Linked DNA regions of Astyanax mexicanus. The protein of the gene in region 1 purifies or fractionates together with the protein of each later gene. This does not show direct contact. Links are inferred from orthologs where the notes say so. Each region holds a gene or a part of one and is shown on either strand. Other genes may lie near its edges.

Evidence for each region.
Region 2: the proteins of kdm8 (region 1) and RCC1 domain-containing protein 1 purify together in Homo sapiens (co-immunoprecipitation; 3 studies listed by BioGRID and IntAct, counting the BioPlex papers as one, with this or other methods). This does not show direct contact. The link is inferred for Astyanax mexicanus from reciprocal best matches to the Homo sapiens genes KDM8 and RCCD1.

Annotation. Positions count from the first base shown.
Region 1 is NC_064410.1:58,258,284-58,270,543, reverse strand, and holds the start of kdm8 (lysine-specific demethylase 8), read left to right. Parts: upstream 1-6,511; 5' UTR 6,512-6,530; coding exon 6,531-6,599; exon of another isoform or gene 6,600-6,744; intron 6,745-7,583; coding exon 7,584-8,048; intron 8,049-11,992; coding exon 11,993-12,165; intron 12,166-12,260. UniProt on the Homo sapiens protein: Bifunctional enzyme that acts both as an endopeptidase and 2-oxoglutarate-dependent monooxygenase.
Region 2 is NC_064409.1:59,369,995-59,381,487, forward strand, and holds RCC1 domain-containing protein 1, read right to left. Parts: upstream 5,889-11,493; 5' UTR 5,763-5,888; coding exon 5,534-5,762; intron 5,410-5,533; coding exon 5,188-5,409; intron 4,490-5,187; coding exon 4,324-4,489; intron 4,061-4,323; coding exon 3,939-4,060; intron 3,376-3,938; coding exon 3,277-3,375; intron 3,185-3,276; coding exon 3,044-3,184; intron 2,933-3,043; coding exon 2,903-2,932; intron 1,870-2,902; coding exon 1,712-1,869; 3' UTR 1,586-1,711; downstream 1-1,585. Other genes in the region: cib1 (calcium and integrin-binding protein 1), read left to right, coding at 981-1,099, 1,188-1,276, 1,373-1,394; dynein light chain roadblock-type 2, read left to right, coding at 7,168-7,317, 7,935-8,010, 9,971-10,138, 10,256-10,299. UniProt on the Homo sapiens protein: Plays a role in transcriptional repression of satellite repeats, possibly by regulating H3K36 methylation levels in centromeric regions together with KDM8.

The DNA.
Region 1 (12,260 bases):
CAACTGCCTTCAGAAGTTATTAGTTAGTTATTAGTTAATCAGTATAAATACAGCTGTTCTGTGAAGACATCAGTGGATTGTCAGAGAGCACTAGTGAACAAACAGCATCATGAAGACAAAGACAGGTGAGCACTTACAGTTGTAATTGCAGCAAATGGTGGCTCTAAGTATTGATATAGGGGGGCTGAATACTTTTCGGATTTTTATTTGATACAAATTCTGAAAACCATGTATCATTTTCGTTCCATTTCAGACTTACGCAATACTTTTGTGTTTGTCTATAACTTAAAATCTCAATTTTGCGGTTGTAAGGGTGATAAAATGTGGAAAAAAGATTCAAGGGGTATTAATACTTTTGCAAGTCACTGTATATAATACCACCTACACAAAGCAGAACGGGTTTAAATCTTTTCTTTTTTTTTTTTCTTCTTAGAGATAACCACAAATTATGTGCCAAATAAAGCAGTCAGTGTGTTCAGCATTCAGCCGATACCACCACAGCCTGTTTTATTATTAATCCAGCAGCATCCTCAGGCTGCCACTCACCTTTATATCCAATATTCCAAGACTATACGGCAAAATATATAAATATATGTCTCTGTATCAGCATTAGAATTCTCTGAACGATGCGGTATACCTCTTATTATCAGAATAAAAAGAGGGAACTATTGTTTTTATGATGTATTATTGGTCTCTGTGTTCTTTCTGACTTCAAACATAAAAAATATGTTGATAAAAAAGGGAAAATAATAAATTTGCCCCGTGGGGCACACTGCATTATTTATAAGCACAGGCATGAAGCTCTCCTCACACGCTCGCACACGACCATACAAACAAAGCATTTCGTGAAAGGAAAAGCAGGTTTTTGAGAGCTTTTAATAGAATTGTTATTTGTTCTAGTACTATGTCAAATAGCCACAGTAAAAATTAAATACATTAAAAAATAATCTAAAATAAACCACTTAAATTTAGACACACCTTCACGTTCAGTGTTTTTATTATTTTTTATTTTTTCCCCTAGATTTTAAATGAATACTGAAGTGATCCAGACTATGAAGGAACACATAAGGAATCATGTAGTAACTTAAAAAAAGTGTTAAATAAACCAAAATACTCTGTGAAGCATTTAGCTGCTCTTATCTGGGGAGCTGTTTGTTAACTTGCAGTTTCTGAGGCTGGTAACTCTGATGAATTCATCCTGTACAACAGAGGAAACTCTTGCCCTTCCTTCCCTTGGCTGGTCCTGATGAGAGCCAGTTTCATAATCATAACAATTTTGATATCCTTTTTTGCGACTGAACTTGACGATACTTTAAAAGTTCCTAAAATGTTTCGGATTGACTGACCCTCATTTTTTAAAGTATTTTTTCTTTACTTAGTTGAGTAGTTCTTGCTTCTCATAATCTGGATTAGAACATTACTCAAATATTCACTATTCACTGTATACCTGTAACTCTACCTCTTCACTACTTTACTTTAACTGATGCTCTCAAACACTTTATTAAGAGACAATAAATACAAGTAATTAACTCTTGACGAGTTCAGCACAGCTGTTAACTGAAAGCCTGAATTCCAGGTGACTCTACCTCATAAAGCTGACTGAGAAAATCCAGCAGAGATGTTTGAAACTGTCTAATCTAAGCAAGAGGTGATACTTTGAAGAATCTAAAAGACAGTATGAAACATATTCTGTTTTGTTTAACACAATTTTCCCATATGTATTTCTTCATAGTATGGATGACTTCATCATTAATATACAATACAGGAAATGTTAAAATATTGAGCAACCACAGAATTTAAGGTGTGTCCAAACTTTAGACTAGTGCTGTATATACAGTTCTGGACAAAAATAAGAGACCACTTAAAAATGATGAGTTTCTTTGATTTTACCAAATTGAAAACCTCTGGAATATAATCAAGAGGAAGATGGATGATCACAACCCATCAAACCAAACTGAACTGCTTGAATTTTTGCACCAGCAGTAAAGGCATAAGGCTATCCAAAAGCAGTGTGTAAGACTGGTGGGGGAGAACATGATGCCAAATGCATGAAAACTGTGATTAAAAACCAGGGTTATTCCACCAAATATTGATTTCTGAACTCTTAAAACCTTATAATTATGAAATTGTTTTCTTTGCATTATTTGAGGTCTGAAAGCTCTTCATCTTTTTTGTAATGTCACTCATTTCTCATCTCATGACAATATTTTTATTTGGAATTTGGGAGAAATGTTGTCTGTAGTTTATAGAATAAAACAACAATGTTCATTTTACTCGAACATAAACCTATAAATAGCAAAATCAGAGAAACTGATTCAGAAACTGATGAAGTGGTCTTTAGAGTGGTTTTTAGAGCTGTATAAGTCAGCATTACAATTTAATAAAGAAAATGCTGTTTTCCTCCAGAATAAGGAATAGAGAATAAAAATATGGCACTATTGTTTTTTTTTTTTGTTTTTTTGTATGATATTTTACATTTATATTTTATGATGCATTATTGGCTGCTGTGTTCTTTCTGACACCAAGCATGAAAAATATTGTAGAAAAAAAGGAGAGAAATAAAGAAAAACAATAAACTCGTCCCATGGGGCATACTGCATAATTTATAAGATAACATAGGAAGCTCTCTTCTCACACTCATACATTAACATACTTTCACACAAACACACACACTTATACACTCATACACTGATACACACAAAGCATTTAGTAAAGAAAAAGCTGGCTTTGAATATCCTGGAATAATCCTTGTTCTATTTTTCCTAGAAATATGTCGAATAACCGCAATAAAAAGAATAATACAGAGAGCCAGGGAAGAAAAATCTGCAGCGTTTCATGTGGCGCCACCGCCACCGTGTCCCACGAGTGGAGCTTTCATCCGTTATGTCAAACGTGACAGCGCTGGAAGAGAAGTCATGCTGTGCAACACTCGCCCTGAAGCGAAGGCTTTCTGTCTCACACACAGGAAAAGTCAATAGCAGCGGGGAAGTGCTTTCCACACCAACCTACAGATCCGCTATATTTGCCTCGCGCACTCGAACTGCTTCATTTGTCAGAAACAGACGCTGGTGTTGAGCAGAATTGAACTGTCTCTGGTGTTTGCCGGAGTGTGAGGATCTTAATATCTCTGCCTGAATTCCCACACCAGGTGACATTCCCGCTAACTCACCGACACGCTAACATGCTAACACAGTGTCCTTAGCTGTGACATTGTTGTTGATGTTGCCATCACCCTGTTCTTATGTGCAGAATCCGAGCACAAGACCTGTCAGAGCTTGTGCAGAACAAACAGAATACAAAAAAAAACTCCAGCATTCACTTCACCATGACTTTGTAACATCAGCATGCAGCATGTAGCATCCATGCATTTTACAACAAGACAATGCAAAACCACATGCTGCACACACATGTACAGGGGTTGGACAATGAAACTGAAACACCTGTCATCATTTTAGTGTGGAGGTTTCATTCATGGCTTAATTGGAGCAGCCTGGTGTCCAATCTTCATTAATTGCACATTGCACCAGTAAGAGCAGTAAGAGTGTGAATGTTCAATTATCAGGGTAAGAGCACAGTTTTGCTCAGAATATTGCCATGCACACTATAACATTATGGGTGACATACCAGAGTTCAAAAGAGGACAAATTGTTGGTGCAAATCGTCTTGCTGGAGCATCTGTGACCAAGACAGCAAGTCTTTGTGATTTATCAAGAGTCACGGTATCCAGGGTAATGTCAGCGTACCACCAAGAAGGACCAACAACCTCCAACAGGATTAACTGTGGACGCAAAAGGAAGCTGTCTAAAACCACGGCTGATCAAATCAAGGCAGAATGTGCGATGTCAATGTGCACCTCAACTCCCATGTTTCCACCAGGACTGTCCGTCGGGACAATAAATTATTGTGGTCTAAAACCAGGTGTTTCAGTTTCATTGTCCAACTCCTGTACACCCCAATTCATCTCCAACTCCAAAACTCATCATTTCCACGGACCCTAGAATGTTTTTAATATTTTTTATCATTTATTTATAATATTTTTATGTTAGTATAATTTTGTGTATTGTAGTGAACTGTTGATGGTTGATGTATGATTTTCATATCTTGTGACATTCCACAGGGTTTTACTGTGGGACCAATAAAACTGATGTGAATAAAGAACAACTGCATAAAAGTTTTAAAAGTGAAGACCTAAAGTATAACTTACTGGTTCTAATGGGTAAAGCACTAAACACTAACTAATGTAATGGAAATGGGAAATAGGAAAATTACAGGTGTAAACATTATAGATTTTAGTTCTTAGTATTTAAATGCATGCATATGTTTTTCTAAAGTCATCTAGTGTACTACCTTGGGATGCTTCAAGTACCACTAGTGGTACCTGTACCATAGTTTGAGAACCACTGCTCTAGAGCATTGAACACATGTTCTCTGGAGTGACGAATCACGCTTCTCCATCTGGCAATCAGATGAACAGGTCCCTGTCTGACTTTATTGTGCCTAATGTAAAGTTTGGTAGAGGGGGGATTATGGTATGTGGTTGTGTCTATAAAGACATGGATGGACATGGATGTTCTGACCTCAACCCAATAGATAGAACACCTTTGGGATAAATTAGAGTGGAGACTGTGAGCCAGGCCTTAACCTCCAACATATTAAGCATCTTAATGTCTCTGCCATAAACACACTCCTAAACTTTGTGGAAAGCCTTCCCAGAGGAGCTGAAGCTGTTAATGAATTATTTATTCATTTAGGAATAACGTTTTTGGAAAGAGAGACCTGCCCAAGTATTTTAATATGGTTCCATCTGGCCCACTTTGGTAAAAGTTTGGAGACCTCAGTTCTAGATAATTCCACAGTGCTGTGCTGTGAAGAGCTGACTCTGCAGAGCAGCAGCAGTTCACTCCTCATTATTAAACACTCTCAGGGACAGGCTGGTGATTTGCTCTATAGAATGAGTGAGGTAAGGGTAAATTGTGGAGAATGAGATGTACTGGCCTGTCAGGTGGGCTCGGTGAGGGACCTCCATCACCACTGAGGAGCTTTTCATGGTCTCCTAGACATCCTACATTTTATTCAAGTCAATGTTTTATTAGCAACATTTATTATTTAATATTTATGCTCTCCTGGTGAATCTGTGCCTACAAGGCTGAGAACACCATAGAGAAATACACTATATGGACAAAAGTATTGGGAAACCTGCACAGTCATTGCTTCTTCCATAATCTTCCAAAGGGCTTATAAAAATGTTTATCCTGCTTTTTTTGGATTAACTGGATTAACTGTCATCTCCAACTCTAGAATATTTTTAATATTTAGTATAGTTCTATGTATTTCATTTTTCACAGTTAGCATACTTTTTATAGTTTGTTTTGAATATTTATCATATTTTTATACTTCATATAAATCTGTATATTTTAAAGATTTTTAATGTTTAGTATAATTTTGTATCTTTATATATTTTTTATATTTAGCATAATTTTGTGTATTTAAAATATGTATTATATTTAGTATAATTCTGTTTATTTAAAATACTTTTAGTGTTTGGTATAATTCTGTATATAAAAATATATTTTTATAAAATGTAGTATCATTCTGTATATTTAGAATAGTTTTAATGTTTAATTTAATTCTGTATATTTTAAATATTTTTATATTTAGTATAGTTCAGTATATTTAGAATATTGTTTTATATTTAGTATAGTTCTGTATAGAATATATAGTTATTTATGTAATGTATGTATCTGTGTATTTACTTTTGTATTTTTAGTGTTTTTATGTATATTAGGCTCTGTGTATATTTGTATATAGTATATTTCTATATAGTAGAATATTTTGCATATTTAGTATTTTCTGTATTTTTAGAATATAATAGTTCTGCATATTTAGTATTATTATATTATTATATATTATAGTGCTTTGTAGTTTCGTAGTACAGTAAAGTATATTTTGAATATTTATTTTTTTATATTTAGTGGATCCAGTTTTTGTATTAATATTTATGTGTATTACTGATATCCTGCAGTAGGTTAATTGTATGAGCATCAATCATTTCAGTGCAGTAATATGCAGTTATGAATTTTTAAATAGATTGTGTGCAAATTGCAAAAATTGCATAATACAATAAAATAAAAATAAAATAAACATTGACTATACAAATATCGTCACCTTCTCATTATTATTTACCCCTTATAACAGTCCATATCAAAAGTGTGACCAACACTAATTTATTATTCCTAAACAAAATAAAATGTTACTCAATTTAAATAGCTTTTTCTTTCCTGAAGTGATCTTCAACATTCAGGGATCGTTTTTTATTCAGTAAGTGATGAGATGTTTACTATAATATAAATACTTATTATTAATATGGCTATACGCTATAATATTACATCGTTTTTTTATCTACATTTTACTTAGCTAAACAGCCAAAGAAACAAGTCTATAAAGCTAGCTATAGATGATGTACAGTTTGTGGCTGTTAATTTTTATTTTTTTTTTGTGTGTGAAAAGTTTATTAATAGTAGGGAGTCTGTATGCTGTGCAGGCGGAACACTGGTGGTTCAGACGGAGTTTCAGCCCGGGCGCGTTTTGATGATGCGCAGGTACTGTGTGGAGGGAGGCTGTGGATATTTATAAATGTTTAGAGTGAATATAATGAATAATTAAAGTTTAAAACACGGTTTATAATGAAGTTCAGCTCTCTGCCGGTCCATACAGCCGCGCTTTAAACACGGAGCTGATCCAGCAGTGAGTAACTTACAGCTCTACTACTGTATTACATCAGCTAACAGCTAACTAACTAACTAATGCTAATATTAATGCTAACTGCTGTTTTACTGAATCTAATTACTTTAAAACTTTACACTTAAATAATAAACAACAGGTTTTATAGATGGATGGATGGATGGATGGATGGATGGATAGATAGATATACATGTGGACATAGGTTGATTGATTGATTTTTCCTTAAATTGATTTATTGATTGATTTATGGATTAGTTCATTCATTCGTTAAATGATTGATTAATTCAATAATTGTTTCATTAATTCATCAATTAATTAATTCATTGAGACATTTATGTATCGATTGATTGATTCGTTTATTGATCGATTCATTCATTAAATTTATTTATTTATTCATTCATTGATTTATTAATTGATTGATTTATTAATCGATTGATCGATCGATTGATTGATCAAACAGACTTAGTCCAATGTTAATCTGAGCCAAAGGCGCTGTTGCCATGTGGGTCAGCCAGACGTCTTTCTGTATCAGTTTTCTCCAGTTTCCAAGAGACTTTTAAAGGTGTAGGAAATAGTACTTGCTGCTTTCTGACTTCAAATTGACATTTTAAAATCCATTTTCATCTCTGTTTCCTGTAAGAACAGCTGAATGTGGGTTTTTAATGCCCAGATGTTGTTTAAATGTGAAATATGTGTGATATTTAGTGAGTAAATATGTAATCTGTTGTGTATAATTAGTCGACACTTAACTATAAAATCAGCAAATTTTTTTAAAATTATTTGATTGTGCTGACTAATTGTTGCAGCCCTAATTAACACCTTTTCTTACGCCTCTCCGGCAGGTAATGGCTCACATTTGGAAAGATGTGAAAGCCGTGCTTCCCGCCACCAAGCCTGAGTTTCCCCTCCAGTTCAGTGATGTGGTTGACCCAAGCGTTCTGGTCCTGTTGGGACTGAGCAGAGAGCAGCTGTACAGCTCCTCAGATCCTCCAGCCTGTGTGGAGAACGCTCAGATCATCATGGACTACTCCTGGGAGAAGCTGAACACAGGGACCTGGAGAGACGTGGATAAGGAGTGGAGGAGGGTGTACTCTCACGGCTGTCTGTTTAAAGCTGTGGGGATGTGTCATGGAGAACCATCTCAAGCCCAGGTCCAGGAAGCCATAAAGACGTGTGATATGGGTTTACTGATGGGAGCCGCCATCCTGGACAATGTCCTGCAGAGGTTGGTGGGTGTGCTGAAGAAGAAATTGAAGATGCAGCTTTCCAGCAGAGAGGAGGAGGACAGTGACCGGCCCTGTCTGAAGGTGAATGTTTAAAAAATGCTGATTTAACCGTCTGTTAGGTGTATGGTATATTTGGTATAATCTGGTATATTTGATGGTCAAGGTGGTTTAAAAAAGCTGGTAATTATTGTAAAAGCTTTATAATGGTATTACTGATTAAATATCTGATGATTAATTATCTTCATACTTTACTAACATATGATATGTCTTTATTAGGGCTGTGAATGTTAAGGCATTACCATGTGATGCATTTTAAATCGTAATGCGTTTTTTTTTTTTTTTTTGGAGCAGTTCGCATGTGGTGAGAACGTGATCTGTTTTCGATCTGACCCAGCTATCAAATATGCTTCTTTATAATTAAACTGCTGATAAGGTGCAGTTAAATATTAAGTATTAGCCAGATAATATACTGCTATTAATAAACACTGTCTCTGCTGCTCCATGCTGTTTGCACACTAAGAGCGCAATGTGTGCAGCATTCACTGCTCGCAGCTGCATGACTCTGTGCTGCACATCGCATTAAAAACTGTATTTTTAAAAGCACAGAAGCAAATTTTCAACATAATATAGATATAATTGCATTTTACATTTCTTACATTCACACATAGTTAATCACAGAATATTGTTGTGATTATTTTTTTTTTGTCCGATTGACACCACTATTTTTGATTTGAATCTATTGAATTTATTGTTTATTTTACTGTATTGTTTTTTAAAAGCCCACGCCCAAGTCCTTTGGCCACACCACCACCTTCCTTTTTGTGGTTATGAACTTTCCATTTTCATATTAGTGTTAAAGCCAGAAAATAAAATATTTATAATCACATAAATTAATGCTGCAGCTATTGAATATAATCAGGTATTCTGTTGAAAATTTATTTTAGTAATTGAGTAATCAGAGAACATATTTTTGCTTCTTTAACCCTTTTAAAACCTGCATCCATTACAATGGACACCATGTACTTTCTTAATTTTTTGATGTGTTGTTGCACGTGACACTAAGTTGTCTATCAGAATAGACCCTGAATCAGCAAATGAACAAAAAAACTGGAAAAAGCACTAGAGCCATTGAGGGGAAGAAACAGCTACACTTTTTAATCATGATTTTTACTGTTTAGGAATGGTTTGTGAAATAAAAAGGTAAATATGAAATATAAAATATTACACACAGGTCCCCAATGCGGTGAAAAAAAAACTACTGAATATTTTAGTTCATTGGATTTATTTGCTATATAGATTTTATAGTAGAATATTAGAGTATTCTTTTCTGTGCATTACAGACAGAAAGCAGCTTTCTTAACTGCATTGTTTCCCATTACTGGAGATAATTCAGGTCTGAAAGGGTTAAAGAGCAAGTATAAATACACAAGAGAAAATAAGAAACTTGACTTAATAATGAACGACCAATTGTTTTCCTTTTTTATATATATATTTTTTTCTTAAACTTCTTAAATTCACCTTTTAATAGCCACAAACTGTAACGAATTGTACCAAACTTACGACCTTCGATATGATATACAGGTGCTGGTCAACGAATTAGAATAATTTGAAATAGTGCAATCGTGAAATTCTTTGAATGCATTTTTTGTGCAGAAAGCAAATCAGGTGTTCACCACACCTGTCCTACTCGTTAGACTAATCACAGAACTCGTTACCTGGAAAAAAATTTGCTCAGCTGAGCTTTCCAAAAGGCCCATTTAGGCCATTTAACTGTGACACTGTTGTTTTATTGAATTAGAATAATGGAGAAACCGTTTCATTGAATTAGAATAATTTTTATTATAATTACAATCATCACTTTCTCAGTATTTTGTGGCTGCCCCCTTGGCTTGTATGACTGCCTGAAGTCTCCGCGGCATCGATTTGACCAGCTTGTCGCAAGTTTCCGCACTCACAGCTTCCCAGGCAGTGGCGATGTTCTGCTTCAGTTGGTCCAGCGTAGTAGGCTTTCTGTCTCGAATTTTCCGCTTGACGATGGCCCAAAGGTTTTCAATGACATTGAGGTCAGGCGAGTTGGCCGCCCATGCCAAAACTTCAAGCTGTTTTTTAGTGAACCAATCTTTGGTCGACTTTGCCGCATGAGCCGGTGCAAGATCCTGTTGAAATATGAAGTCTTCTTCACCGAACTGTTCCTCAACAGTCGGAATCAGGAACGTTTCCAGAACATCTTGATATACGGCAGCATTGACAGTCTTCTTGAGGAAGCAGAGTTTCCATACACCTCGAGCGGACATGCATCCCCAGACCATAACGCTCTGGGGAAACTTGACGGATCTTTTCACGCACTCGTGGTTGTAGGTTTCGCCACCACGACGCCAGACACGAGGACCTTGGTCACCGAAGGAGATGCAGAAGCGTGATTCGTCACTGAAGACCACTTTCTGCCAGTCTTCAGCAGTCCACTCGCCGTGTTCTTTGGCCCACTTCAGCCGTTTCTCCATTTGTTTCTTGTTCAGCATCGGTTTTACTGCTGGAACGCGAGATTTGAAGCCGAGTTCGCGCAGACGACGGTAAGTGGTTGATCTGGAGACGTCAGCGCCGGTCTGCTTGTTCCACAAGTCGGTGAGCTCGGAAGTGGACTTGAACCGGTTGCTGACTGCGATCTTTCTCAGCTGCTTGTTGTCGCGAGCAGAAGTTTTTCGGACGCCGGAACAGTTGGTGCGCTTGCTGCAGTTTTTCTTGAGAGCTTTGCAGACGGAAGACTGGCTGATGCCGAGCTGCTCAGCAATTTTAGTTTGGGTCAAGCCTTGTTGGCGAAGGGCTTGAATTTGAGCCACTATTCCGGTTGAGAGGTCGCGCTGCTTACCCATGATTGATTTTACAACTTAGAAATTCTACTCAACCCTGACTTTATACTGCGCAGTGAACACTCTTCACAGAAAACAAAAATTCGAGCATTTATTCTAATTCAATGAAACGGTTTCTCCATTATTCTAATTCAATAAAACAACAGTGTCACAGTTAAATGGCCTAAATGGGCCTTTTGGAAAGCTCAGCTGAGCAATTTTTTTTCCAGGTAACGAGTTCTGTGATTAGTCTAACGAGTAGGACAGGTGCGGTGAACACCTGATTTGCTTTCTGCACAAAAAATGCATTCAAAGAATTTCACGATTGCACTATTTCAAATTATTCTAATTCGTTGACCAGCACCTGTATACAGCTCTAGAAAGAATAAAGAGACCACTTTAGTTTCTGAATAAGTTTCTCTGATTTTGCTATTTATAGGTTTATGTTTGAGTAAAATCAACATTGTATTTTTGTTCTATAAACTACAAACATTTCTTACAAATTCTAAATAACAATATTGTCATTTAGATCATTTATTTGCAGAAAATGAGAAATGACTGAAATAATAAAAAAAGATGCAGAGCTTTTAGAACCCAAATAATGCAAAGAAAACAAACAAGTTCATATTCATAAAATTTCAGTTCAGAAATCAATATTTGGTGGAATAACCCTGTTTTTTTATGCATCTTGGCATCATGTTCTCCTCCACCAGTCTTACACACTGCTTTTGGATAACTTTATGCTGCTTTACTCCTGGTGCAAAAATTCAAGCAGTTCAGTTTGGTTCAATGTTTGTGATCATCTTCCTCTTGATTATATTCCAGAGGTTTATAATTTGGTAAAATCAAAGAAATTCATCATTTTTAAGTGGTCTCCTTTTTTTTTTTTTTTTTTTTTTCCCCAGAGCTGTATCTATATATCTCCGTATCGATACTGAAATGATACCACGGCAAAAACCTAAAAGTCAGAAATGAATGTATGAATAAAAGAAGATTGAACATTACATTTTGTATTTATTTTTTTATTAATAATAAATGAAAAATATAACAGAAATGGTTACCAATGTGACAATGTTTATTCTTCATTTAAAGTAAGAACATAGGATTCAGGATTTAATACCATAATAAGGAATTTTTACAAATGGTAACTTCACAAAATGCCATCTCCTATGTGAACAGAAACTCAAGAAGGACGGCACACCAGAGCCCAGGATCGACGCTGCCGTCTCTGTACCGAGGGTGAAGTGTCCGGCTCTGGAAACCTTCCGGTCTGAATATCTGGAGCCCCAGAAGCCGGTCATACTGGAGGGGATAATCAGCCACTGGCCTGCTTTCACAGAGCATCCATGGAGGTACTATATATAGGCCCAATCCCATTTCACGCCATTCTTGTTAGGCTGGAGAGGTAGGTTAGGGGGAAGGGTTTGTTAGCCATTCATACAGGGAT
Region 2 (11,493 bases), on another chromosome or scaffold:
CAGAGTAAGGATTGAATAAAAACTTTTTAGGGGTTAGGGAAAATAAAAAGAGAACATAATATATTTAGTTGTTAAGAATGTAATTTAGGTAAAGGTGTAGCACAGCTAGAATGTTTATCTTCTGCTAAGTATACATTCTTGGAGTGCACATATTGCACAATAATGGCATCCTGACTGGCCATCTTATTATGACTCTAATGCCAGCACTTTCAAAAACACCAGCTATAACAAAGCAGTACTGTTATAATTATACAAGTAAAAGACTAGCAAAATGTTAGTGTCATTACTATAGTTAACTAAACTAAAGCTTAATCTTGGATTTCACATTGAAATAAACTAAAAACAGCAAGTATGTGGGTTTAAAACAGAGCAACACTATTGCTGGGTAGGTAGGTTTGACACACAGAATTGGATCAGCAAATCTGAGGGAACATGATCTGCTGCACCATTTAAGGTTGACTGGATATTTGGAATACAAAGTGGGAAAGAACAAAACAAAGATCAGCTTATTAATATTCAACAGCCTTTTCAGTTTGTGATCCATGGGATTAACATAACCTGTAACAAAGCATAATGAACTGTTCCTTGACTATTGTGAGTAAAGGACATAGTGTGGTGATGCTGTTCTGGCAGTGCACTGGGGTGTCTGATGGAATGGAACTATTTTACCTTGTGGAATATTCATAAACTATTTACCGTTCTTTTTCTTTTAAAATCTACCAGTAAACTGTGATAACGGAACTGATATTATTGCAGTAATAATCTCAATTCATGCTATAACGAAAGATATTGACACTGGCATATTGATCTTCAACACTTGTCTGCCAGCACCAGTATCTCACATTACATGTACTATTGTTTAATTGTATTTACAAAGAAATTTGATCTGAAATGTCAATAAGGTTCAGTGGGTAGAAGTGGAATTATGTACACGCCATTGCTAATAGATTAAGATTTTATTTCCTATTTAAATGTACCAGACTTCGATGATGATGGGACCCTTGATTCTGGAGATCTTGAGAAATTGGTGAACTGCCTGACTGGAGAGACAGAGGACACACGACTCACTTCTGAGGAAATGAAGCAACTTATAAACAATGTGAGAAAACTGCACACACCAAAAAAAATCGAAATAAAGTAAACTTCAAAAATATGAATTGAAATGAACTAATTTTGTGTTTCTGCAGATTCTTGAGGAGTCAGACATCGACAAAGATGGAACAGTAAACCTTTCTGAGTTTCAGCACGTCATTTCCAGATCTCCTGACTTTGTCAGGTAGGAGATGCTATAATTGAACACTATTAAACGTAATATTAATTCTTGTTTGTAGTAATAATGACATTTGTTGACTAATCATCTCATATTTTGCAGTTCATTCAAGATTGTGCTGTGAAGCGTCAGAAGCACTGAAAACATTTTGTGGTCCGATGCATTCACGACAGGACAACAGTACTTTCCTCTTTTCTTAACAGTCCTAATGTAGGTGTTAATTGACATATACTCTTATCAGTATTTCTATGCTTTTCTAATTTATAAAGAAATCTGTACATATTTTCTGCACAACCTTTCTTTACTCTAAACCTGTATTTTTGGAGATATTTTATATTTAATAAACGCATGTTGTTTCCCTACATTTATTATGGCTGTCTTGATGATCGTCCATCACAATTGAAAGGACTCCAGTAGAAAATAGATCCCTTTGTTTGGGGGTCATGAGAAGCGATGCTCTTTTGGAACAGCAGACACAAATGTATTCCACAGCCCACAGACAACATCTTCTACAAACATCCCATTTTTTGAGAAGTACTCCACGGCTTTGGGTTGATCTGAACTGCATTTTGAGCCATGACCCAACTGGCCATAGTGACCTGTTACAGAGAAAAAATGCAAAGTGTTAGAATATAAATCAATGAACCATAACTTTAACATCCCCTCTTTGTTTCTACAGTCATTGTCTATTTAATCAGATCAGCTGACCATATATGATGCTGGTGGCTGGATATTTTTTTTTTATAAATTTATTTCAGATTTTTCCCCATTTTCTCCCAATTTGAATATCCAATTGTCCCACCCCTTTGTGCGTCCCCATCACCGGTGACGCCCGTGACCCTTGGAGGATGTGGACGAGCACACGCCTCCTCCGACACGTGTGAAGTCAATCACCCCTTTTTTCGAGCTGCTGCTGATGAATCATTGCCTGAGCAGCTAGCGCGCTCGGAGGAAAGCACAGCGGCCAGGTTCCAATTCATCCGCTCACAGACGCCTTGTGTCACCCAGCGCCACCTTATGTGTGATGTGGAGAGAGAGCGCCATCTACCCACCCCAGAGGGAGCAGAGCCAATTTTGCTCCCTCTAAGCACCGGCAGCTTGAAGCGCCAATTTTGCTCCCTCTAAGCACCGGCAGCTTGATGGCAAAGCTGCATGAGCGGGGGTTCGAACCTGCGACCTCCCGCTCATAGTGGCAGTGCATTAGGCCGCTGGACCACTCGGAGCCCCCCGTGGCTGGATATTTTTGAATGGTAGAATATTCTCAGTTTAACAGTAATACTGCATTGTTTAAAAACTCCAGCAGTACTGCTGTGTCTGATCAGATTCTACCAGCACAATACACACTAATATACCACCATAATGCCAGTGTCACTGCGGTGCTGAGAATGACCCATCACCAAAATAATACCTGCTCTCAGGGTAAAAGAAGGATAATAATGTATGCAGAAAGACAAAGGACTACTGTCTGTGATTACAGAAATAAAGAGTGCTTCTACAGTATATGGTCAGTTGACCTAATAAAAATGGCAATGAGTGTTGAAACACAAAGGTGGTGTCAATTTTCAGCTGATCAAGGTAGCTAACAATTGTGTATACATTTATCAGTGAACAAAAGGGAAGTGAAGTTTTTACCCCATCCCCAGGTGTACAGATTTCCAGTGCCTAAAAAGAAGTTAAACAATTAAATTATCAGTCACATCCTTCTTTCTCCATACTACTGTTTTTCATTAACCTATTACTACTAATAAAATAACAAGCACTGACGAATCTTACTTGTGGTAGCGGCTGTATGGCGGGATCCACAGCTCACCTTCCTGATTTCACACATTTCCGGAACATCCACAAGGGCAGGGAAGGCTTGAATTGAAATGAATATATCATCTTCTCCTTTATTCATAGTTCGTTTATCTTTACCTAATGGTAAACAAGTGTCAAAAATAGAAGGACATGAACACATGGAGAGATAGTATTTCAAGCATTTATTCAAAATTCTAAGATGGACTCACCAGTGCTTTGTCCTTTTTGACTCTCATCGTTAAGACCTTTTGATGGCAGGCCTATCTGTCCACTCTCGTTCCAGCCCCATATATAGAGGTCTCCACCAGCTGCACACATTAACATATCATATATCAAATGCTCAAGTCAAAACCATTCATTCGTTTTATTTGCTGATGTTGCATAGATGTTACGTAATCCATTATAAGCTTATATAACATCTGAAATGACATAGCTTTTTCTGACCCGTAAAATTCAAGATACTGGACTGAAATGCCATTCAAAAATAAACCTTTTTTTCAAATACCCATTTATTCTAAAGTAATTTAGCTTATAATCATAGGTTATGTTCAGCCGGCCAGCCTAAATCTGATTTTTGGTATATCTAGTTTGGTAGTCCTGACAACAATAAAAAGTTGAGTACAATGTTTCATTCATTTTGTCCATTTATAAAATACTGTCAAAATGTAGAGAGCAATTACATCCAACAAACCTACCAGGCCACTCTCTATTTAAAATGAATATATTAGGCATTGCAGGGGTGGCAATGCCAGGACCCTAACATTATTCATTAAAATATTTTGACTCCTCTGAACTTATGAATATTACTGTCTTCAGAAATCTTAAGGACGGCTGCTTAAATGCTGAATTTGATAATTTGTTATAATCTTACCGCTGATGCATGCCGAGTGCCAGCCCCCTGCACTCACATGGTTCATAGGGACACCCCACAGAGCTTCTACTGCTCGAGGCTCATCCTCTGAAACCACACTGCCTTGACCAAGCTGACCATGACTGCCAAACCAAACACAACAACATGGTTATAAAAAACATAAAGAAGGCACAATGTATGGGGTATCTTATCCTGTAATCAGGGCCACCATTTATCCATCTATGTTAATCTTAATGTGGATTAGCAACAATACCACACATCACAGCACAGTAATCCTTATACATCAGACAGACTGTTTATTAATCTATAATTTGTCAGAAATTCCAAAACACACAAATATCAGTGATAGGACATCATTCATTTGAGGATTGTTTTTGGCTATTACCTGCCAGATCCCCAGGTGTAGACAGTTCCAGATGTTGTCAGAAGAACAGCATGTTCAGTGCCCAGCGCCAAGCTAACGGCACACAGCTCGGTAGAGAGGGGTCTGAAGAACGGAGGTTTGGATTCTATGTATCCTCCTGGCACCAGTGGTAATGTTACAGTATCACCTTTATGAGAAAAGAGACAAAAATAGTCATTTGCAACTGGTTGATGGTCTTATCTAGAACAACATTTGAATCATATTGGATATGTAGGTGAATATAGCTATTTGAGTCTTGCCAAAAGACTCTTATTGGTGCAGTGTTGTTTAAGAAATAAACACCCCAAATTTACCCTTTTATATATTTGTAAACTGGCAGGGCAAATAAATGAAAGAAAAACTAAATAATGCATACTGTAAAAAAATGTAGCAATGGAAATAAACTGAGCCCTGGAAATGTATTTTTAAAAATAATAAAAATAAGTATTTTCTTTGGTAAAATTACAGATGAAGCCATGGAGTGGTGAGAACTGTTTCCTACACCTTTAAAAGACTCATGAGATGAGATAGTATATAAAAATAATGACTTACTATATCAAAATAATGAATTATTATCATAAAATAATGACTTAATATCTCAAAATAATGAATTAGTATCCTAAAATAATGAGATAGCGGTTTACTTAATAATAAGGAATAAAATGTGCTGGATTTTTTTTTTTTTATTTTAGGTGGGGAGAATGAGCTTCAATAATAACTCAACTTCATGATACATTGGGCACTTTGTCCACCACTGATTAAACCTAGAATAAATGTGGTGCTGAGACTAATGAAATGTATCTAGGGGTTATAGCAGTGATTCAGTGTACAGTGTAGCTCCATCACCAGTATTATCAGGGCTATCCCACACCCTGCTCCAGGCCAGAGCTTTTCCAGCAGGCGTCAGTTGGCTCCAGCACTCCACTCTGTCAGCAAATCTGAGGATTAGATACCTCTCAGTGATCAGAGCGTCCTCACACCCTTCACTCTCCACAACCAGCCCTCTGAACTCCTCATCCTGCTGCTCTGAATCACCTCTCAGCCCTGATACACACACGTGTTTACCACCTGCAGTTTATAACACACACAATTAGTGATTTACTATAATAGAACTTGAGGTAATAAGCGGGAAATCACTTAATAAAACTAAACAAAGTTAAACAAAGCATAACTAAAGTAAAATAAATCTCACCATGTATGTGGATGGCAGCTTTTCGGCTCCAAGCTGCAGTAATCCTGATGTTTTGGTCCTCTGGTTCTGTTTTCTTGGTTTTGGGGCTGAAGCTTGTTTTTTCTCCACAGGAGCACAAACTCAGCACTGCAGCTGGACTCAACACTTTAGAGCTGTCTCCACTATATTCACTTTTTACTCTGGGAAATATTTGCCCAAAGCCATTAAAACCAAAACCAAACCACTTCATTGACTTATTATCTTATAAAACACAACATATGTTTATTTTAAAGGCCTTACTTGCTGATGTATAGCAGAAATAACACTGAAATTGACAAGTTAAATTTAGTAAACTGTCGGCGTCAAAGAAACAAGCAGCAAACAGTATTACAGAATAAAAGTCATTCTTAATGATATTTATGTATGATATATATATGATAATTATAATACAATCTCTGAATCGTCTGCATATGTGTATGTATATTTATTATTTTAATAATATAAACATTTAGACTAAATTAAGGAAAATGTTTATTTTCTTAAAAATGTAAAATCAGAGCCGGTTTAGAGAGAGTCTGACCACTTATATCAGTAAACGGCTGCACACCGCTAGAGGGAGCCCGCGAGGGAGTGCCCAATTAATAGGGCTGAATTGAGCTAATGGCTAAAAACTCAAATTACAAATAGTAGGTAACTACCTGTTCAGAAGATTCCTTTAATTTAAAGTAAATTTAGCATTTCTCTAAACAAGCAAAGACAACCTACTTGTATGTTTTAATTGTTCTACAGTAAAGGGGTTTACGCAGTACAGGCGCTAGCATTACTGCTACCATGTGCTGCTTGACTGGTGAGTGAGCTAATGTTGGAGTTACAGCCAGAGCACTGAGTTTAAAAGGCGTGTCTGGAGTGTAAAAGCTTTAAAATGTATGTCTGTGTTCCTGAACAATTTTAAATTGTTCTGCGTTAAGGAAATAAGTACATGCTTTATATATAAAAAAATAATCAAATATCACTTCTTAGGAACCTATTCATTTTCGACTCACTCGGGAGCGCTCTCTGGTGGCCTAACAAACATATTATTAAAACATTATTAAATGGGTATTCTCCTCTGTAGTTCTTTGGTAATACTAGAGAATCAATAATAGAAAGGAGGATGCCCAATTAATAATAAAGTCTCCCGTGTTCGTTAGTCCACCAGAGGGCGCTCCCGAGTGAGTCCAAAATTAAAGTTCAAATGGAGCAACTGAGCAAAATCAGTGTTTATAAATGTAAGATCATTTTATACTGAGAATTCTACTGATTTTCTCAACACAGAACAGTTTTAAATGGTTTAGCACCACATACATATTTTAAAGCTTTTAAACTGTAACTCAGCTCAGCATCAGATCAGAAATCACTCAGCTCACAGTGGCAGTAATGCTAGCGCCTTTACGGCATACAATTCGTTCAATGAAGAAAAAACGGAATACATAGGTAGGGTTTCTTTGCTTTCAGAGCAAAATGCATCATTCTATGTTCTAGAAATTAATGTTCTTGACAAGTTGATAGTTACTATTTTTAAATTGAGCCTTTAACCGTTTAGCTCCATTCGCCCGCATTCATTTCGGATTCACTGGCGGGCGCCCTCTAGCGGTCTTGGTCATTTTCCGATTATAATGGTGGATTTAAAAAGTGGGCAGTCTCTCCATAAACCAGCTGTGGTAAATCTTTCTACACTACTACTGGCTTCACACTTCCGTCTCCACATAGCAACGGAAAGCACATCAGAGAAACAGCAACGGAGGAAACAGAGCGGAGGAGCTATGGTGAAATATCTGTTATACATATTTCAGTCTTCTTTATAACAGAGAGCGAGAGAGAGAGAGTTCTGTTAGGATACAGTCTGAATTGTTGTTTTTAATACTTCGGATATAATAACTGATAGCTGATATCACCCTTAGCATAGCCTTCTCTTCTCTATGTAGCTTAGCTTGGTAGCTAGCTAGTTAACCAGCGATTTCATAGACATTTATAAATGTATGTATAAATTATATGTCTATGAGCTAGCTAACATTACGCTAGTTAACTATGTTACCTTAGTGTGTATGTAATTATTTTAGCTGAGCTAGCTACATTGTTGTCCACATATGATGTTAATCTCGTTTTCCTTGAGTAACAAAAGAAATATTAGTTCAGGAGTAGCTTATACATAGCTAAAATTGGGTTGTATTTAAGGTGATGAGCAAGGTCCTTTATAAAAATAAAAAAACAGGAGTTCTAGCTTAATATACCAGTAATTTCCTAGCAAACAGACAATTAAAAAATAGTAAAAAAAATAAATAAGTAAGTAAGGAAGGAAGTAAGGAAGTGTGTTGTGCTGGTTGTCTCTAAATGACATTGTTTCTTATGTCTTCCAAACCTTTCCTATCATGTCGTACTCCAGGCTGAAGTAGAAGACACACTGAAGAGAATCCAGACCCACAAAGGGGTCATAGGGACAATAGTAGTAAATGCTGAAGGTAAACACGTGTGTATTTTTCATCATGCATATGGCTGGGAACATCACTGATGGACAGCCTGCAGTGGAGCTGGGTATCATAGCTGTCCAATGAAAAACATGTGCAGGTGCATCTCAAAGACTTAAAATATAATTGAAATAAATGTTGTCAGCCTAGGAAAGCACAAAGTGCTGTATAATTTTCTGGAAAAACGTTGCACTAATTTTGGACTTAATATAACACAGTGACCAAAACCAGCAGATGAAATGTCTCTCCAAACCATCACTGATTATGGAAACTTCACACTAAGACCTCAAGCAGCTTGGACTGTGTGTCTCTCCACTCTTCCTCCAGACTCTAATGCTTTGATTTCCAAATGAAATGTAAAATTTACTGATGATCAGTGATGGTTTGGAGAGACATGTCATCTGCTGGTGTTGATCCACTGTGTTCTTACAAGTCCAAAGTCAGTTCAGTGATACATTTTGAATTGAATTACTAAAATAAAGTAACTTTTTATTGATATTCTCATTATTTGATAAGGACCTGTATCTCCTTTACAGAAGCTAGTTAAGACGTTCAAAAAGTTAAGAGTTTAATTCATGTAATTTTTTTAAAATTTGTATTGGTCCATTCCTCAGGATATGTTTGAAACAGTATAAAGCCTTATCTGGATGGGATTAGTTTCTCAGGAGGACCAGTGAGTTTCATTTGTCTTTCTCGGTCACATGACATTGCGTTCAGTAGCCCCTTCATGTCCACTCGCTGTTGTGTTTACCTGCCTCTCCGTGGAAACACATCTAAAGTGTAATTACGGTGTGTGGCAGTGGACAAATAGCTATTTTATTAAACACAAAGTGACGTGAGGTGTGAGTGTAGATGGGACTAAAATTACCGGAGGACCACAGAGTTCAGTGAAAAACAGTAGGTAATTCAGCCTGTAATTTTCTCAGAGGACGTCTGAGAAAAACACATACATGGTTATTCTGGACGAGAATAAAATCACAAGGAACAACACGTAAAAGAGAAAATTACCCCTACTGAGAAACCTACTGAGAAACTAATCCTGTCTGGATATTGCTTAAGTAACAGATTGTGCATTCAGATTATGTAGTAAACTAAAACTAGACTAAAATGGAAGTACTTGTATTTCATTGGACAGCAGCAGTATATTCTAAAAGTAAAGGGTATCTCCTGTCACCTATTATATTTCAAACTATCCACACAGTTTTGTTAAAGTATTCAGCTTTTTAAAAGCTATATGTTGTATGTTGTGCACACACATCTTGCATAATCTTAAGCCTAAAGCAATCGATATGGAGCTCTGTCTAATACAGTTGTGATCAAGTGATCGGTTGTTTAATGACTGGCCATCTGAATAAACAGTTGGAATCAGCTGTGCTGCTAATTGTTTAAAATAAAAACTTGCAGCCACATTTGCCCTTTGCAGATAAGATTGTATACACTTTGAGGGTGATCCAGAACTAATCATCCATTTTAATTGCAATCAAATACTCAGAGCAATGTTTCCACTTACCACTGCATTAATTTACAAATGTAGTTTTTACAAAATTTTATTTGCAAGATATTACATGCCTATGTAATATATTAGGGGTGCCTAATATGAAAAAAATCTGATGTGCAACAATAGTTTGCTGTGAGATTCACCATGTCCTGTACCTCACTCTGTCTTCAGCCTACTAGCCTACATAAGCACAGTCTGTAACCTGTATAGCTCCCTCTGTTGCTGCACATGAGTAATACATTGTAATTGTCTTATTTAAGGGTTGTTGCAGATCTTTCCATTTGTTTGTCTTGAAAACTTTATTAAAAACTTAAAAATGTTGATAAAGAAAAAATATGATTTATCATACAGCCCTAATGGCAAAAACAAGCTGAATGGTATTGCTGATTAAATCCTTTTGCATTAAAAACTATCATCATGTGGCTTTAAAAGTGATATTTTCTTCGGATCTTCAAGGTATTCCCATTAGAACAACCCTGGACAATTCCACCACAGTACAGTACGCTGGACTGCTTCATCAGCTTACTATGAAAGCCAGGAGCACAGTCAGGGACATAGACCCTCAGAATGACTTGACATTCCTACGCATCAGATCCAAGAAGCATGAGATCATGGTTGCACCTGGTATGTGAATCAGTTTGCATGTCGTATGTGATAAACATTGTTTTTATTTTGATTTTGACACAGAGAAGAATGAAATGAACTCTAATAGCAGTTTTCTTTATCTATTTTTATTCACAGATAAAGAATACCTACTGATCGTCATTCAGAACCCGAGTGAATAGTATTCTGGGACTGTACCAGCTTTGCACATTCCATACATACCTTACATTTGTCATCTGTCTTTTGAGTTGCCTTTTTTCCATGTCTTTTGCCTCTTGAATTGAACTGTCACGTTCCTGTCAGTCACACACTTGTATTTGCCTTATGTTTTCCTATAGAAAATGCATTTTAATTTAATAAATCTCATGAGAATTAACACTTGTTGTATCTGTCGTTGAAGATAACTGAATTATAAGATCTTCGAGGGCTTATAGTGTTTATTGCAGCATGCTTTCTTGACTTTGTTAAATGGAGTGATCAGGGTTGGTGTAGACCACTTAACCCCCCACTAGAGGGAGCTATTGCTCCATAAATGCGAATAATCAAGGCCCAGGATGTAAACATAACTTTCCCATACAGGAATTCCACACGGTCAGAATTCCTGTAGAAGGATGGATTATAAAATGAAATGGTTAGTATATATAATTTGGTAATTGGCTTGTATGTTGATATTAGCAGGTCTGTGGCAGTGGAGTGTCTTCATTAGAATCAAAATCTTTATACACCAAATAACCAGGTGTACAAGTAATTTCCCTTGGTGCAGATGCCAAACCCAAACTTTAATTAAAATAAATTCAATTAAATTATAGAGAAATATACACTTTCTATGAACAGAAAATAAAAACATCAAATATAAAATATACAGTAAAAAAACAAAATGTAAATAAAGGTATATGCAATAGGAGTAAATTAATGAATTCATTAAATCAACTACTGAAGATGCAGTTCCAGTCAAAAGTTTGGACACATCTTAAATTATTATTTTTTTTTAATTAGTATGAAATTTTCTGTATTGTAGGGTAATTCTAATTCACTCGAACTATGAATAAAAATATGAAATTATTTAGTAAACAAAAATGTGTAAAACAAATCTGAATATGTTATATATTTTAGATTCTTCAAAATAGCACCTCAAGCTTAAATTACAGCTTTGCACATCTCTGCATTTCAGCTTTATAATGTAGAGTCACGTGAAATGGCTTTCAGTTAAGAGCTGTGCTGAACAAGAGTTGATTGCTTAAATTTCTTGGCCTCTTAATGTGTTTGAGAGCATCAGTTGTACAGTTGTGAAGAAGTAGAGTTTGTATACAGTTAATAGCCCTATTTACGTGTTCCATATTATGTCTACTACTTAATTAAGTAAAGAAAAAAATACT